Linked DNA regions of Elephas maximus indicus. Each later gene encodes a partner of the first gene's protein in a complex. Links are inferred from orthologs where the notes say so. Each region holds a gene or a part of one and is shown on either strand. Other genes may lie near its edges.

Region 1 (3,744 bases):
CTTACCTGGCGGACAAAGCTGTTAGATGTTGTATCTGAGGACGTACTCCCATCCGACCTTTTGAACCGCCCTTTCCTCTTGCTGTATTTGCCCTAGAAAAGCAGGGAAGGGACAAAAGTGGAATCAGGGAGGACCTTTTCCAACCCTCTGTCCATAATCTGAACAGCTCCCCACTGCCCCTATCTTCTTCCTTAGGTGGTACAGTCCAAGGGGAGGGAGGGTCTCCCACTTTCCCAGAGAGGGCGCAGACCACAGCCAGGGAGTGGGGGACACTGCAAGAGAGGCTTAGGGGGTCACACACAGAAACTCCTGAAACAAGCCAGGAGGCTAAAAAAGGAGAGGTGCTGAGAAGCTGGCGGCTCATTAGGCAGCAAAGCTAATTAAGATGCAGGGCAGGCTGCAGAGGCCTCAGGGGAAGGAAAAGGCTGCCTGCAGTGCTGTCGGGGGGTGGTGGAGAAAGCCAGGGAAAGTCCCCTCCAGAGAAGGCTTGAATGTGCCAGTGGTCCCCAAAGAGGAGGAAGAGCCAATCCAGGGCCCGGCTGGGCTTCACCCCTGTGCCCAACTCTTTCCTTCGTTTTTCCGCAGAGTAGGGAGGGGAGCGGCAGCTCTGAGCACTTGGAGACCCAATGCAAGATTTCCGAGGAGAGGATTGGGAGGGTATTTGGAAAGGAAATCAACATCCAACCCTGGCCCAGCACCATGGGGGCAGATTCCTAGCTGGGCCCCGGCAGGGCCTCGTTCCACCCCCATCTCACAATCACAATAGCCACACCTCTCCCCAAGGGGGACAAGGGTGATCAAGGTTCCACCCTCCATCCCAGCTGCCACTGCCCACACCCTATCCCCATGGTATCCACCAGGCTATGTTAATCTAAATGCCCCTGAGTCCCATCCCAAGTTGAGCCTAGGACAAGTCTAGCCCCACAGGTCTCCCAGAACCAGGATGGCTCAATCACACAGACCAAGGCTCCTGCCTTCGGTGGAGTGGACACTGTGCCTCACCCCCCTCAGGCAGCCACAAATTCAAGTTAAAGGCTTCAGGAATTTCCAGGCCTCCTGGAAACGGGGCTTCTTTGCCCTTCCCAGTTCACAAATACACACTTGGCCCCAGGCCAGTCCAGAATGGAGGGGGGGTTGTGATTGAGAGTTCATTCCCTCCAAGCCCCTCCCCCTGGCCTCCATCCTAGTTTTATTTTGGCCAAATAACCTGGATGAACCATGACCAGATCAGGGGTTCTGGCTCTTAGGACCTGGGGACAGGAAGGAGGAGGGATAGATGGAAGAGAAGGGCACTTGGGGACCCTTCAAGGGTCCTCCTCTCTTCTCTTCTTTCAAACTAGACATATACCCAAACTTTAGGTTTGAGGATCCCTACAAACCCAAGAGGATCTTCCAGTGAACCCCAGACTCTCATTCACAATGCTACCACTCCAGGCTGGGAAAAGGGAGTGGCACCCAGAGGACAGAGGACAGCTGAAAGGAAGGCCCCAGTCAGCTGCCTCCCAGACTCCAAGGGGCCTAGGGTGGAGGAGAGAGGTATTTTTAGGTCTGACCTGACCCCCCTACATACGCATCAGCCACATTATCATGGTGGTTACAGTTGTTCCACAGCAAGAGAAGGGTTAACTCTATCCTAGTCTTGGGGTGTTGCTGGACTGGAGACAGAAAAGTCTCAGAGAAACCTCCTGGTAGGACCACCCCAGGCCCTGCTGGTCACTCAACGGGCATCCACCACACCCAGGAATGCCCCTTCCTGGGGGTAATCCAGGGCACGGGAAAAGTGCGTGAGTGGGGGCAGAGTGGCAGACCCCTCCCTCAGGTAATACAGCTTCTTCTCCTTCAGGATAGTGAGCTGGCTTGCATCCAACTTTCCAAACTTTGGAAAGCCAACATGGGCGTGGGGGGAGGGGAGTTGGTCCAAGCTACCGGGGGACAGAGGAGCCTGGGAGGGATTCTGGCCTGGAGCTGGCCCCTTCCCCCACCCTCGAGGGCCAGTGTCCGTGGCTTCAAAGCCCTGTTGGCACCGCCCTCTGACCATTGCCTTGGCCATCTCCCAGTGCTACCCCCGTCCCACCCACACTCGCCCAGCGCCCCAGAACGTGCTCTGCGTCGCCCTCCTTGTCTGAGCTCGCTGTCCAGCCTCCTTCAACCTCCCCTTCTCAAGGCCCGGATCTCCCCCGTCAACAGCCCCCGCTGTTATCTCACTGGAACCGGTACCCGAGCAGCAGGGACCCTGACGCGAAGGAGGCGAGGGTGACAGGCGGCCCGACTGCCCCCTCCCCGCTCCACAGCACCCGCAGCCCAACTCCGGGCCAACTGTCTATCAATCATTAACCCGCGGGGCTGGGGGACGCGCAGGCGCCCCTCTCCCCTCCACACCGAACATATAACCCCTTCCTCCCCGGCGCCCCTCGAGCTGACCCCATCAAGGTCCGCAGCAGTGGGCCCCTTCCCGCCGGCCTGGCCACCGCGTCTCACCTGTGGACTGGGGTCGAAGACCTCCATGGGGATCTCCTGGGAAGGTGGGTAAGGGCTCCGGGACATGCTGGCCTTCTGGACCATGGAGAGGAGCCTCTCCTCCGGCCGCCGGCCCGGCCCAGCCGGGCGCCTTCAGCGCATGGGAGAAGCCGTCGGAGTCGAGAGCAGCGCAGCGCAGCCAGCACCGGCTCCAGCCACCCAGCCTGGCCTTCGCCAGCCCCCTTCCTGCCTTCCTTCCCTCCTCCCTCTCTCCCTCAGCCGCCGCCGCCTCCTCCGCCCCTGAAGGCTCCGCATCTCCCCCCGCCCCCTGGGCTCCCACCCGCCCCTCCCTCGCTCCCTCCCTCCCTCCCTCCGCCCGGCCGGCCCCGCCCCTCGCAGCCCCTCCGCTGGCTCCGCGCAGACAATAGGAGGGCAGCGGGAAGCAGACACGCCCCTCCCGGCTCGGGCGGGGGCCGATCGCTGGCCTCGGACTGGTCTCGGACTCGGGCCGCCTGCTCTGGGGAGAAGGACAAAACCGCTGGGGGCGGGGGCGGGGGGGGGTAGGTGGAACGGTGTTACCAGTGCATGCCAAGTGCTGATGGGGGGAAATGCTCGGATTGGCATAGCTGGCACCGTCGTCCCTCCCAACCCCGGGTCCCAACCGCGCTTCTAGTGGGTCTCCCCAGCCCACTCCTGCTTGGGCCACCGGAACTTCCCGGTCCCCGTGATTCTGGGACCTGGCTTTAACTCCTTTCTTCCCAGCGTAGGGCTGAAGCCGCCTTGAACCGAACAGAAAGGTCCCTCACCAACTTGCCTCTGGGGGTGCCACCTGGGAACTAAGGCTGGAGTGGGGAGGGTGGCCAGAGGGAGATCTCTACGGAGACAGCATCAAGAAGCAGTCCCCCAGAGACCCCAAAGTCTTCTGCCCTAGTCAGTAGCTGGGATCCCCCAGGGCGTTCCAAAAGTCCAGGCGAGGAGGTGCCCATTTCTTGGAAGAGGGAGAAAAGTGGAGGAAGAAATGCTAAGCTGAGAGAAGAGGAGAGACTGGTTAATATCAGATATCATGATCTCTGACTTAAATGGCTCCCCTTTCATCTTTGATTTGAGAACAAATGTCCAAGGCCTGCACTCTGCCCACCATTACTGGTTCAGAGAAGAGAAATGACTGATTCTGGCAAGAGACCTTGGTGTCAATTTGACTCAGGTTTTTGGGTTGTGTGGCCCTGGAAAAATCACTATGCCTCTTTGAGCCTTAGTTTCCTCACCTATAAAGTGGGGTTGCTGGTA
Region 2 (3,744 bases), about 10 Mb from region 1:
CAAGAAGGCGAAGAGGTGGACTCTGCTCAGACTCAAGGCCCAGCTGAGCCTGCCAGTCCCGCAAGGCTGGTCTTGTTGCCTCTTCCTAGGTCTCTCCCTTGTGTGAACCATGCTCACCTCCTGTTCATCTGCTTTGTGAACTCACCAGGCTTTAAAAGGCAGGCGCCTCTCAGGTCAGGGAGCAGAACTGGGGATGGGATGTCCCCACATGTGGTTGCTGGATAGGCTGACCCACCATGCCCTGCCTGGCCTGTCCCAGGGGAGCCAGCTGGATGACGCATCTGTCTGGCGTGCTTGGCAGTGGCCAAGGGGCGTGGGCTTCTGGCTATGTGATATCCTTCTAACACATGCCCACGCCTGTCAAGGCCCTCAGCCCTGGGACTCTGTTTTTCCAAGACAGCTGGGTATTTGAGTCTTCCAGGCATCCTGGGAGAGGGTGGGTGAGCACAGGGATTCCTGGAGGAAGCAGGAGGGGAAGAGAGGCCGGAGCAGAGAGGGAAGCATGAGGCTGGGGCGAGGCTGCAGGATTTCAGGGCATGCAGCATGGATGCTCCTGAAGGGCAGGTCTCAAGGGACAGCTGTCTGACAACAGAGGAAATAATTCTGCAACCAGGGGTGGGTGCCACACATACGACGGACCGCTGCCATCTTGGAGGGACATTTGTGGGGACTGGACAGGACCTTTGGGAGCTGAACCCAAGTCTGTACCTTGCAGAGGATGAATCAGAGGCTGAGAGGGGCTTTGTCCTCCCCTGTGGTCATCTAGGGGGCTCGTGGGCAGCGTGTGACCCGAGCCCAGGCCTCCCACGCTCCACACAGTGCTCCTTAGGTGTGTGGTCTACTGGCTGTGAATATAGTTGGTTCCACATGTGCAGAATCGAGACTGGTCCACCCAAGGCCAGGTGTTCTGGACAAGGAACTCACCTTCAGTGCTTGGTTCAGCCTGGTGTTGGGAAATCGAGGCATATGTGTAAAGGACAGTGGAAGCCAATGCATTCTATCCGGGAAGAGGTTTGAGCTGGCGGAGCTGTGCAGCAGGGCCGTGGTCTGAGGGGAAGGCAGACACTTAGCGACAGGCATGACTGGCTTCACAGGCCAGCCGCCCTAGACCCCACGCTTGGAAGGCCTCTACACTTGGTTTAATGCACTGCTGTTACTGTCTTGAAATTTAAAAAAAATTTAACAAAGAGCCCTGGTGTTTTCATTTTGCACTGTGCCTGGAAATTTTTGTATTGCCATCAGTTGATTCCCACCCATGGCTCCTCCATTTGTGTCAGAGTATAACTGTGCTCCATAGGGTTTTCAATGGCCAAGTTTTTGGAAGTAGATTGGCATCTCTGGGTGGGCTGAAACCTCCAACCTTCCAATTAGCAGCTGAGCGTGTTAGCCATTTGAACCACCCAAAGACTTCAAGACCAGTTGCTGTGGAATTGATTCCGACTCATGGTGGCCCCATGGGTGGAGTAGAACTGTGCTCCATAGGATTTTCTTGTGTGTGTGTGTGTGTGTGTGTGTGTGCTCCATAGAGTTTTCAATGGCTGATTTTTCAGAAGAAGATCGAGGTGTCTCTGGGTGGATTTGAACCTCCAACCTTTCAGTTAGCAGCCAGTGCATAACCCTTTGCACCACCCAAGGACTCCAGAACTTCTGTAGCTGGTCCTATGTATGCTCCTGCCAGGAGGCCTATGAATGAAGCTGCTGGCCCTTCAGCCTGGGAACGCAGAGCCACTGGCCTGCCCGTCATCACAGGAGAACTGCGGGCCGGGCAAGCCCAGAGGCTCGACCACTGCTAGGAGCAGAAGCCCCTAGACTGTTAGATCTGCAGTTTCTTTCTGGAGCCTCTTGTCCTACCTGTCCAGCCCTTGTCTCTGGGTGAAAAGCCCCAAGCCTCAGCAAGACAGAAATAGCTGGAGACAAGTGCCCTCATTTCACAACCGGCTCTGGCTGTCAGCACAACCACATGCAATTCAGAGTCTTGTCCCTGCGCTGTTCTGAGCCAGAGAAACCTGCCCTCATTTCCAGAGATGGGGGGACAGGGAAGGGTAGGAAGTGGGTGCAGGGACAGGGAATGGGTACGTTACCCCCGGACAGGGTGATGGTTCTGCAGCTCTTGTCCTTGCTGTCACCCAGGACGATGCGTTTGGTACAAATCCGCCAGAGGCCGAAGTGGGCCATCTCACAGGTACTGTTCTGGTGAGCCAAATGGGGGCTGAGCACGGCCCAGTGGTCGGTCACCACAGCCACCATGGCCAGCACAACACCTACCAGGATGAAGAAGAGGGTCACACGGACCTTCAGGGTTTTGGTCTGGGACATGGTGGGGTCCTTGGGCAGGACGCAGCAGCCACAGCTCTCAGGGCAGGTGGCAGCTGGGCAGGGGTGGCAGCGGGTATCGAGTTGGGGGTCGGAGCTAAGTTTAGTGTGCCCAGTCGAGCCAGAATGGGCCGGCCTTGGGACTGAGGGATGGGGTTGAGCAGCTGCCCAGACGTGTCAGGGGCCTGAGGGAGGCTGCTATTAATGCCCATCTCCCAGTGTGTCACCACGATGGTGTCTGCTCAGATTTCAGGGCGTTCTTCCCCTCGGGGAGCCAGAAATACCTGAGGGCGGGGCAGGGAGAGGAGGCTCTGGATGCTGACTTGAGACCTCTATGGGACGGCGCTCAGGGTGCCAGGGTCCGGCAGGGGTGTGGCAGGGCATGGGTATCTGCCTGCTCTGGATGAGGGCAGAGGACTCTGGGGGGCCTTCCTGAGTCTCTCATTGCAAGGGGTGGTGACCAAGGTATGGTGAGTAGGTCCTCATCCTGTGAGTCTGGGGGACTTAGGACCCTGTCTAGGGGACCCCCGGAATCCCCCACCCAGGGCCCAGGCAAGGGCCATACTCCTGAGACCACCACATTTCCCAGATCTCGGGATGATTTATGTGGTTCCCGGGCCTGGCATCACCAGCTCCTGAGTGAGGTTATTTCCTTCTCAGTTCTCTTTCCAAAGCTCATGTTAGGGTCAGGAAGTGCTTAATTCCTCCTTGACGCTTGCAAACCACCCTTCTAGGCAAAGGGCACATGGCCTGGGAGGCCTCAGACTGCAGAGCTGGCTGTGACTCAGGCCTGTTCTCACTGTTTTTAGTTTTATCTTCTATTAATGCCAGGTAAGAATGACTTTCCAGCTATGTTCCCTTTTACAAAATAATTGTATTTAAGAAAAAAGAACAGAAGTAGGTTGATTCACAGGTGACCAATAGGAGGCTGGAGTCTTTGGATGATGCAAATTGTTGATGCGCTGGGCTGCTAACTGAAAGCTTGGCAGTTTGTGTCCACCCAGAGGCACTTTGGAAGAAAGGCCTGGCAATCAGAAGAAAGGCCTGGGAATATCACCAGGCCTTTCTTCTGAGGTGCCTCTGGGTGGAGTGAATCTCCAGTCTTTCAGGTAGCAGCCGAGCACATTACCTGTTTACACCACCCAGGGACTTCAATGTTCCCAGCGGGAGCTAATTCGTCACAATTGGCTGACTCAGTGATTGACTTGTGGGTCGATGTCTCTGCTTTACCTCAGGGGTGACTGTCTCCAGCAGGTGGGCCCTCTCCTTGGGGAACACTAGGAAGCGTGGACATGGCACACAGCCTCTGAGCCCATTCACACCACTTGTGTGGTCCTAGCCTCAGGAAACCCCAGGCAGAGTCAGCCAGGCCAGGTGGTTCTTGGGCAGGGGTGCTGGGTGGCCTGAGGCAGACGAACTGGGCAGCAGACC

What was found. The genes of interacting proteins can lie anywhere in the genome.
Region 2: CACNB1 (region 1) and CACNG1 share a complex: the UniProt entries of both Homo sapiens proteins name them as parts of the calcium channel complex. The link is inferred for Elephas maximus indicus from reciprocal best matches to the Homo sapiens genes CACNB1 and CACNG1.

The regions. Positions count from the first base shown.
Region 1 is NC_064837.1:46,616,957-46,620,700, forward strand, and holds the start of CACNB1 (voltage-dependent L-type calcium channel subunit beta-1), read right to left. Parts: upstream 2,743-3,744; 5' UTR 2,563-2,742; coding exon 2,479-2,562; intron 93-2,478; coding exon 6-92; intron 1-5. UniProt on the Homo sapiens protein: Regulatory subunit of L-type calcium channels. Regulates the activity of L-type calcium channels that contain CACNA1A as pore-forming subunit.
Region 2 is NC_064837.1:56,871,437-56,875,180, forward strand, and holds the start of CACNG1 (voltage-dependent calcium channel gamma-1 subunit), read right to left. Parts: upstream 2,317-3,744; coding exon 2,082-2,316; intron 1-2,081. UniProt on the Homo sapiens protein: Regulatory subunit of the voltage-gated calcium channel that gives rise to L-type calcium currents in skeletal muscle. Regulates channel inactivation kinetics.